Kluyveromyces lactis: one gene and its partners. The protein of the gene in region 2 binds, or shares a complex with, the protein of the main gene of each other region. Links are inferred from orthologs where the notes say so. Each region holds a gene or a part of one and is shown on either strand. Other genes may lie near its edges.

Region 1 (2,860 bases), on a different chromosome or scaffold from region 2:
ATTCTAATATGTATTAAATGGTTAAACACTTCAAAGAGTGTGTTACTTTTCGCCGTGGGCTGGTCCATGGTCACTTTCATGGTTTCCCTCTTGGGATTCCTTATTGACGTTTTAATGTTTGCATCCCACGTCACGTGGTCAAGTTGGTTGATGTTAGTTAGCGCATTCTTCGTGGCCTTAAGTGGCATTTTACTTTGCCTGATGATTAGAGATTTATCTTACAGAAGGTTCGTCAAGCTGCAAGGAGAAGTGGACGTTTGCGTCCCGATGACAGAGCCACGAGATCCGGATGAATTAAACGAAATTTGGAAAAAGAAAACTTCGAAGAGAGAGATCCTCTGAAGTGATATCACCTAGTCTATATACCCTTTTTGACTGGTTCCTTCCCAATACTGCATTTGTTTCTTTAGAAAAGGAACATATATCTCATCGCATGTTTATTATAACTCTTCATTAATAAAGTACTTTTTGTAATATTATTTCTCACGTTTTAAATAAAAGATACATTCTCTTACATCTTGAGCATTTCGTCCAAGGTCAATACCCCTTCACAGTTGGGATCCTGTAATGCTAATATTAACGAGTGTGCTACTTGCTGTGTAGAGATTAATGGTCGCACAAGGTCGTTGACAAACGGTATCTTTTGTCTAAGTACCATTTCATTACCGCAGTTCAACATTTGCAAGAAATTACGAATCTGCGTTCTTCCATCCGATTCAGAGTTTCTTTCGTCAAACATAAACCCAGGTCTTAAAATGATGGACCTTATCTGTTTCCCGTATTGGGAAATGTGTTCTTCGGCCTGTCTCTTAGAATCAATGTATCCACTTGGAATTGATGGGAATCCTCTGTCAGCCGAAATGTAACTGAAAGTCTGAGCTTGACCACCGTTCACCTTCATATAAGTGTCTGCAAGTAAGGTGGCACTATAACGGTTCATCATGTCGTATGTAAATCTCGATCTCTCAGGTTTTTTTGGTGCCAATGGGTTCTTACCAAACCCTCCGAACGATAACTTCGGTACCGACCAAAACGAACCATTGATTTGTTTCTTGTAATTCTCATTCTCCAAAAGTATTCCTAGACTGTGAACTACATCAGTGGCATTACGAAGTACTGGTGCATATGTGTCAGGATTAAAAATATCACAAGATCTCCATTCAACTTCATTTGCCCATGGTTCAGATGAAGTAGCCTTTCCCGACCTCGATAGTGAAACTACTTGGAAATTTGCTCCAACAGCAGCTTCACAGATACGTTTCCCCAAGAATCCAGTACCACCAAGTACTATCAATTTGCGACTCATATCAATGGCTTCCGGTATACAAAGGACCCTTTTTGATAAAGCAATGCGTCTCATCATTTATTCATTGTCAGTTGCGGAGTGACCATCATTTTAGCTTTGAAACGGCAAATCTCAACTTCGCAGAAGCATTTGTGGAGAGGAACAACCAAGTCACGTGACCAGAGTTCATGATGGTCGCATCAATCACTGCACTGGCTCAAGTTAAATTTAGTTTACTACAAGGAGGATACGAGAATAAGGAGCGGATACTCCACTATCGATTATCAAGAATGGAACCTGGATCAATCCTTCAAATAATTTTTGAATACTGCTGCGGTTGAGAAGAGGATCCCTTGTTTCTCAACAAAAAGCTATGAGCCAAATTAGGCATCTACTGGTAAACTATCTAAGAATGTGTGAACTTCTAATTACGGGTCAAGGTCATTGATTTCAAAATAGGGCCTTTTCGTACTCAAAAGAAGTCAACTCGATGTGGCCCATTAGTCATAAATGTTTCGTTAATTCATAATTGAACAATAAACATTAACCATCCAGCTCAAGATTGAAAGTTTCAGATACATTCAACCGAGCGAGGCACAGGGCATCGGTATTATAAGAACAAGAATCGATGTTTAAGGTTTGAATTACCAGATACATCAATAAGAAATATGCAACAATGAATGCTGAGTTTCTTAGAACAGATCGTATCTTAAATTAAATCTATTTCAGACATGCATGGATCGTTATATTTTTTCCCCGAGGTTTACATCCTCTTGTTTGTAGTTGTCCCATACCACACGATATATGAAACTTGGGGCAAAGCCGCCAATATTGGTGATATAAATATCGATGTTTTCCGGGGGAATATAGTCAGCAATTGGATTTATCGTTTCTAAAGCAACGGTACCTACTCTATCATTCTCAGTTGTAGGCAATACGTTCTGAGATCCTCCAATTTCTACCATCTTCTCAACATCGAATGGGTATAATGGAGAAAGTTTATAAAGACCAGCAACGGCAAATACAGGTGTTCTGAACTCTCTTGCGCACTCACATACAGAGGAGACACCAGCAGTCGAAGATATCGTTCCACCGTTAGTGAAAACGGTTTTAGCTCCTATAATGACCTTCCCCACTCTCGACATCAATGCAAATACAGCTGAATCAGGGATTACAATAGTCTCAATGTCATGTTCACTTAATTTTTTAGCGAATTCATGAGCCACGGTTGCGTTGTTAGGGAATCCTTCAGTCACTAAAACAGTAAAATTTCTATTATTACCTTCTCTAGCCTTCAGAAGGAAACGAAGAACGGTTTTAGAGTCTGGAGTAGGGGTAAGTAGGATTTCACGATCATGAATCAATTCAATAGCTATTTGTTGAATACCTTCATCGATATTTTTAATTTCATCTATAAGATCACGAATTGACTGAACAATGGTTTGCCTTACGTCTAGTTTGTTATCCTGTACCTTTTTTGTCTTCGTATCAGTCATAGGCTTCTGTAATAAATTGAACATTGAAGATATCATCGGTTCAGCACTAGTCTGTTCTTCTTCTGTCTCGTCTCTGATC
Region 2 (2,956 bases):
AAGTAACAGATTCTTGTATGTTCAATATCAGATTATCCTCCCCTTCCGCTTAAAACCCTCACAAGACACTGCTTCTCTTTTATTATGGGGTGAGATGAGATGCCCTGGTCAGAAGTCTTAAATTGGATAGTTTTTAACTTTGTTCTTTTTTTTCTTCTTCTTGGCCGCTAAACGCAGTGATAAGAAAAAAGAACAGTTTTAAGGCTGCAAAGCACACCGAGGGAAAGAGGACATCGTACTGAAGTTCGATCATAATTGTTTAACATACCGCGTTAGCAAATAAAAGTGTAGGCAGTGGTACTGTACGTAGCAAGGATGTTAGCTATAGATATATTTTTTAATCGATCAAGCAAAGGCGATCTTTTTCCTCTTCAATTGAAGACGTTTATTTCATTACGTACGTATTTCTATTTCTTTTTTCCTGGTTCCTATATCCACAGAATGACCCTGCATTATACTTTACAAAGCAACTTTACGCCAGCCATCACGATTTGGGGATTGAGGGTTTAAAATTCATTTCTCGTAGGTCTCATACTTAAGCTTGAACTGTTTTCTTTGTTTCGCTCTTTCCTTTCTAATTTTTCTCAAATCTGGAGGTGGTGTGACGTTTAATTCTCTTCTTAGTTCGTCTATGTCCTTATCCAAGATTTCTTCCCAATAGACATTGATGAGAGGTTTGCAATTCAGCCCTGCTTTGACTGCCCATGGGAGGTAGATGGAGTAAAGTCTTTCCTTTTGCACTTTCTTTAATCTCAATGGTGCTAATAGAGCACCAAGTGCAGCCATTGGGACACCAATGTTTGATGCCTCAAATGCTTTAACTGCAATCTCACCTTCGATTATGATTGGTAGGTCATTTATTGCATGATAAAAGTCATGGCATTGTCTATATCTCTTAAATATGAAAGCATGGACAGGATCATCGATATAAGTAACTGGTGCCCTTGTGTCTGGAGAGACCCCCTCTTTCATCAACCATTTGTAGTACGTATAGCCAACTGAATTTTTATCCATCTTTGACAATCGTTCCATGTCAAGGCTTTCCGATGTGATGTTTGGTCTGTCTTGTAGAATCCTTCTACCAGTCTTATCTAACAACATTGTCCGTTTTAAACTTTCAAGAAAGCAAGGTAGAGCAGTAGCTTCTCCTAATTGAACGATGTTCTCACCGTTCTCCGGGTGGAAATAAGATTTTAAACCACTGATACCGAAGAGCATCATTCGCTCATACCACCAAAGTGGAACATGACCCTCATAATTAGGTTCTATCGGTCTTGTGTTTCGTAATGCATTTAACCTTTCTTGAGTCCTTTGTTCCATCTTATGCTCATACTCTCCATTTTTATTATGCAGATTCCCTTTCTCCATAGCATCTGCTAGTCTAACATCTTTCCCAATCAATAGGTCTCCAAAAGCTGCTATTGCAGTAAATACGATTGTTCTCTTGCTATTATTCAATGGACTGAAAGCGTTACGACTTGCTTGTAAGGATTTCTTACTTACAGTAAACATTTGCGGTCGTCGTCTGATGCGTTTAATAGCACACTTTCCCTAATAATAAAAAGCTGTGTCCCGGAGTACAACTCGTCAATTGAGTCAAATCTAGAATCTGTGTAAACCTTGATCCTAATCCACGCCAGCAATTTCAATTACAACCACTTTACAATTTTCAATGATCTTCCTTTATCTCTAGTTAAAGTATATGTGGGTGAGTCGCATCAACTTCAAGAAAAGGTTTAAATTTGAAATATTCAGAAGAATCATCATACGAAAAAGGCAAAAGAATAGTAAAAAGGTTGACAAAGGAAAACGCCCATCTTAGCAAGGCTCTTGCTATCTACACGCTAAGGGAGCTTTGCTACATTAATTCTCAATTGCATAAATCCGAGATGACTACGGAATTATATAATGATGGGGCATATAAAAATGCTCCTACATATGAGGAGAGCTCTTTGTTACAACAGACATGGTTGATTAAAGAAATCATAAAGCCTGAGCTACCTAACGTTATGGACCATGTTGAGAAATGCATAAACCAACTATCTAGTCCTGAGAAATTTCGAATGCCTCTTACCAATGGGAATAGTGTCTCCGTTAACACATCAGGTGCCGCGCCAGACAGCACATCGATTAAAGGGACAATCACTAGACAGGCCGGATTTATAGTGGATTTTCAGGCTATCATTAAGCTTCCAGACTTTAGCAGGGGTAAACCAATAGTTCTAAAGATGGACCTTGATAAACAATTTCCCTTAGTTCAAATAAATGCCATAATTACAAATTTATCATCCGTATTGTCCTTATTTGACGAATTACAGCAACTTTCCGAATTACACGATATGAAACTTGATGATATTCATACTTTTCACAATAAAATTGGGAAAATATTGGAGTTACTTACACAATCTATTACATTATTACAAAATCCTCCACGAGAATTGGTCTTTCCGCATAATAACAACAGCTTCTTAAACGACAACTTCTCTGAATCTCATGACATTTGTGAATCAGCACATCATTTGGTCAATATGGAATTAGTGCTATTCAAAAACGAGATTTGCTTGGACATTAGGAATTTGACAAAAGTCATTAAAAAACCCTGGAGTGAGATCGATTCGAAAACTGGGTTATCATTCAGTGATAAAGTCAGAGACAGGCTGAAGCAAGACAGAAATGGAAAAATCGCAGAGATCCTTAAGGAAGAAGGCTTGCAAGTTGAACAAACATCTATGATAAACAATTTGATATCCAGTTTTTCAGCAACTGAAAGAATCACTCTTCCGCAAGCAAGCGATCTATTGGCTAGGTGTGTGACATTTAACGGGCGAGTTGTCACTGAATGCGAGAAAGTTTCAATTACCACCAGCGATCCTACATTGATTAGTGTCAGTGCAAAGTTGAACGGGCTTGAAAACAAAATCAGCAATCACTTTGTAAATATTCAAAATTTAAGTTA
Region 3 (2,378 bases), on a different chromosome or scaffold from region 2:
TGAAGCTACTCCAGAGTTAAGGGTAGAAAAGATCTTTAGGCTTATGGATAAAGACAAAGATGGTTGTATTACGTTAGATGAATTTAGAGACGGATCGAAGGTCGATCCATCTATAGTAGGGGCATTGAATCTTTATGATGGATTGGTATGACCCTTGTGTAACCTGCTTCCATACAACTTACTTAGTGTAAGTTTTCAACGGTTGCACGGCAATTAGGCGGGGGCACTTTTTTTGGCTTGAAGTTGTTAGTCTTAAAGTCATATTCATACTGACTGTTTCTTTTAATGTGCTCTTTTTTGATAATGGAGCATGCGGTTCTCTTCCTGAAACATTGATTTACGTTAGTTTCCAACGTGTATGGGTGTAACTATATCATCAGTGTAATATATACGTTTGTATACGATACTATAATACTTCTCCAATCTGTATATATAAAACCAAATATGCCTTATCACGTATTCATCACGGTTCATTAGAAAGGGTTAGCGTACTGTCAGAAGGGCCAACCATTCACACACGTTCCGCTGCCCAAATCGCAACTCTGCAAACAGTCTTGATCCCCTCCGTCAAAAGAATGTATGGGACTGCCTTATGCGAATCGTAATCAATAGCTGTTTGCAAATGTTCCAATTCTTCGTCTCTGAATTGTTTGATAGTAGCTTGTAAATTTTTCAATTCTACAGTTTGTCCAACTTTAGTTCCATCTTCTGATTCCAATTCATATTGATTGTTGAGACAGCGAAGCTGGTCATTATAATGCCCCCCAATAACAGTTTCGACAGCTTCCGTGCATGCCATTGCCGCTTCTGGTGACAAGAAAGCTGTCCCAGAACCCATTGCGAATGCTCCAATTTTCCAAAGCGGTGTCAATAATGAAGGCCTCACACGCCTTTTCAGCTGTAAATTGTTGAATGTATCATGATGGTGAATCTCTTGATCCCACATATGTTGCAACACAGGGCGCAAATGTGGATATCTATTGGCAAGTACGAAGAATTGACCCGCATAAATGTAATTTGCTCCTAATTCACCAGCCTGGTCCACCCTAACCACCCTATCCAAATATGCTAGCTGAGCGTCTGACATTGGCTTGAATTTGGTCAATTCAGCAGACTCATTAGGTTCCGCTCTATGCTCCCCTGCATTGCTACTATTGCCCAAGGTAGATAAGACCGAAAACTGTCTTAGCGGGACGGCTCTCCTACAGCACGTACGAAGCATTCGCTAACTTGATACCAAAAGCCAATTGAAAGGGCGAAACTTTGAAGTGTAAGATAGCGATTAACCTGCCAAACTTTACCAACAAATACTTGTCCTGATGAAGAACTGCTTGTACAATTAAACCTTGAAGAGCAATACCCCAGCCATTTATATAGTATACCTTTATTCTATATCAAAGTTGTGCTTTTTCACCATGATCTGCTGATTGTCAGTATAAGGAAATATTATTGGGTTACCCGATTTTGCGCCAGTGGCTTGAAGAAATGCTGTCATCGAATCAGGTGCAAGAAGTAAAACCTAAACCTCTGGCAAGTGGAAGCTATTCGATGTGGATCCTAGTAGAGACAGTTTCCATTCCCAAACCCTTTAAAGGGGGTTTTGAAATGTAACCCAAGCGATTGATACCGGAAGTTCACCATCATATAGTTACTAGTTTAGCAACTATATACATTAGCTATATTACATTCAGTCACCGCGTGTGTAACCGTCGCAAAGTTCTAGGGACCTTTCTTGGAACAAGATTTAAAATAGTAGAGACGATTTAGTATATGAGTTGTGGAAAATAGCAACAATTTCGTGTCCAATATTGAACGGAACAATTTCTGTATCACGTCCATGGCCCAATGATTTCTGTTCACCATCAGTTTCCCAAACCAAATGATTGAATCTACGCACTTTCACATCGTTCACATACCACCATTTTATCTGGAATAAATGTGGGAAAGTGTACGAATCAGTATGTGTTTCCCAAATATTGGCGCGAGGATCATTTTCTATGAGATCCGAGCACATCTCTGCAATGCCACAGAATTTACCAGATTTGTTAACAGAAAATAATAAGAAAAGTTTAGCACCTGGTGCAAGACTATGGTATTCTCTCTCAAGTCTTCTGTTCCCTTTGCGTGTCGAAGACCATACACTATTTTGTAGTGCAAGTTTAACGTTTCTTTCGTTGAAAGACTTGATAACAAAAAATTTAGAACCATGTGGGATCCCATACACCGACTCACGGTTCTCTATTTTCGAATAATCAGTAGTGTACTCTTTCAGCGGCGATAAAGACTCCATTATGGTAGAAGCTGTGGAGAAAAAACCATCCATGTTTGACATTAGACTTTCTATGAAACTAGATCCGCCGCTTGTATCAAAGGATTCT

The links. The genes of interacting proteins can lie anywhere in the genome.
Region 1: COQ4 (region 2) and COQ11 share a complex: the UniProt entries of both Saccharomyces cerevisiae proteins name them as parts of the multi-subunit COQ enzyme complex. The link is inferred for Kluyveromyces lactis from reciprocal best matches to the Saccharomyces cerevisiae genes COQ4 and COQ11.
Region 3: COQ4 (region 2) and CAT5 share a complex: the UniProt entries of both Saccharomyces cerevisiae proteins name them as parts of the multi-subunit COQ enzyme complex. The link is inferred for Kluyveromyces lactis from reciprocal best matches to the Saccharomyces cerevisiae genes COQ4 and CAT5.

Annotation. Positions count from the first base shown.
Region 1 is NC_006037.1:400,434-403,293, forward strand, and holds COQ11 (ubiquinone biosynthesis protein COQ11), read right to left. Parts: upstream 1,364-2,860; coding exon 512-1,363; downstream 1-511. Other genes in the region: KLLA0_A04389g (SUR7/PalI family protein), read left to right, coding at 1-342; KLLA0_A04433g (translation initiation factor eIF-2B subunit), read right to left, coding at 2,029-2,860. UniProt on the Saccharomyces cerevisiae protein: Component of MIOREX complexes, large expressome-like assemblies of ribosomes with factors involved in all the steps of post-transcriptional gene expression. Component of a multi-subunit COQ enzyme complex required for coenzyme Q biosynthesis.
Region 2 is NC_006040.1:1,586,890-1,589,845, reverse strand, and holds COQ4 (ubiquinone biosynthesis protein COQ4), read right to left. Parts: upstream 1,513-2,956; coding exon 514-1,512; downstream 1-513. Other genes in the region: RAV2 (Rav2p), read left to right, coding at 1,890-2,956. UniProt on the Saccharomyces cerevisiae protein: Lyase that catalyzes the C1-decarboxylation of 4-hydroxy-3-methoxy-5-(all-trans-hexaprenyl)benzoic acid into 2-methoxy-6-(all-trans-hexaprenyl)phenol during ubiquinone biosynthesis.
Region 3 is NC_006041.1:223,669-226,046, forward strand, and holds CAT5 (putative monooxygenase CAT5), read right to left. Parts: upstream 1,223-2,378; coding exon 512-1,222; downstream 1-511. Other genes in the region: FRQ1 (frequenin), read left to right, coding at 1-151; PHO92 (mRNA-binding phosphate metabolism regulator), read right to left, coding at 1,745-2,378. UniProt on the Saccharomyces cerevisiae protein: Catalyzes the hydroxylation of 2-hexaprenyl-3-methyl-6-methoxy-1,4-benzoquinol (DMQH2) during ubiquinone biosynthesis.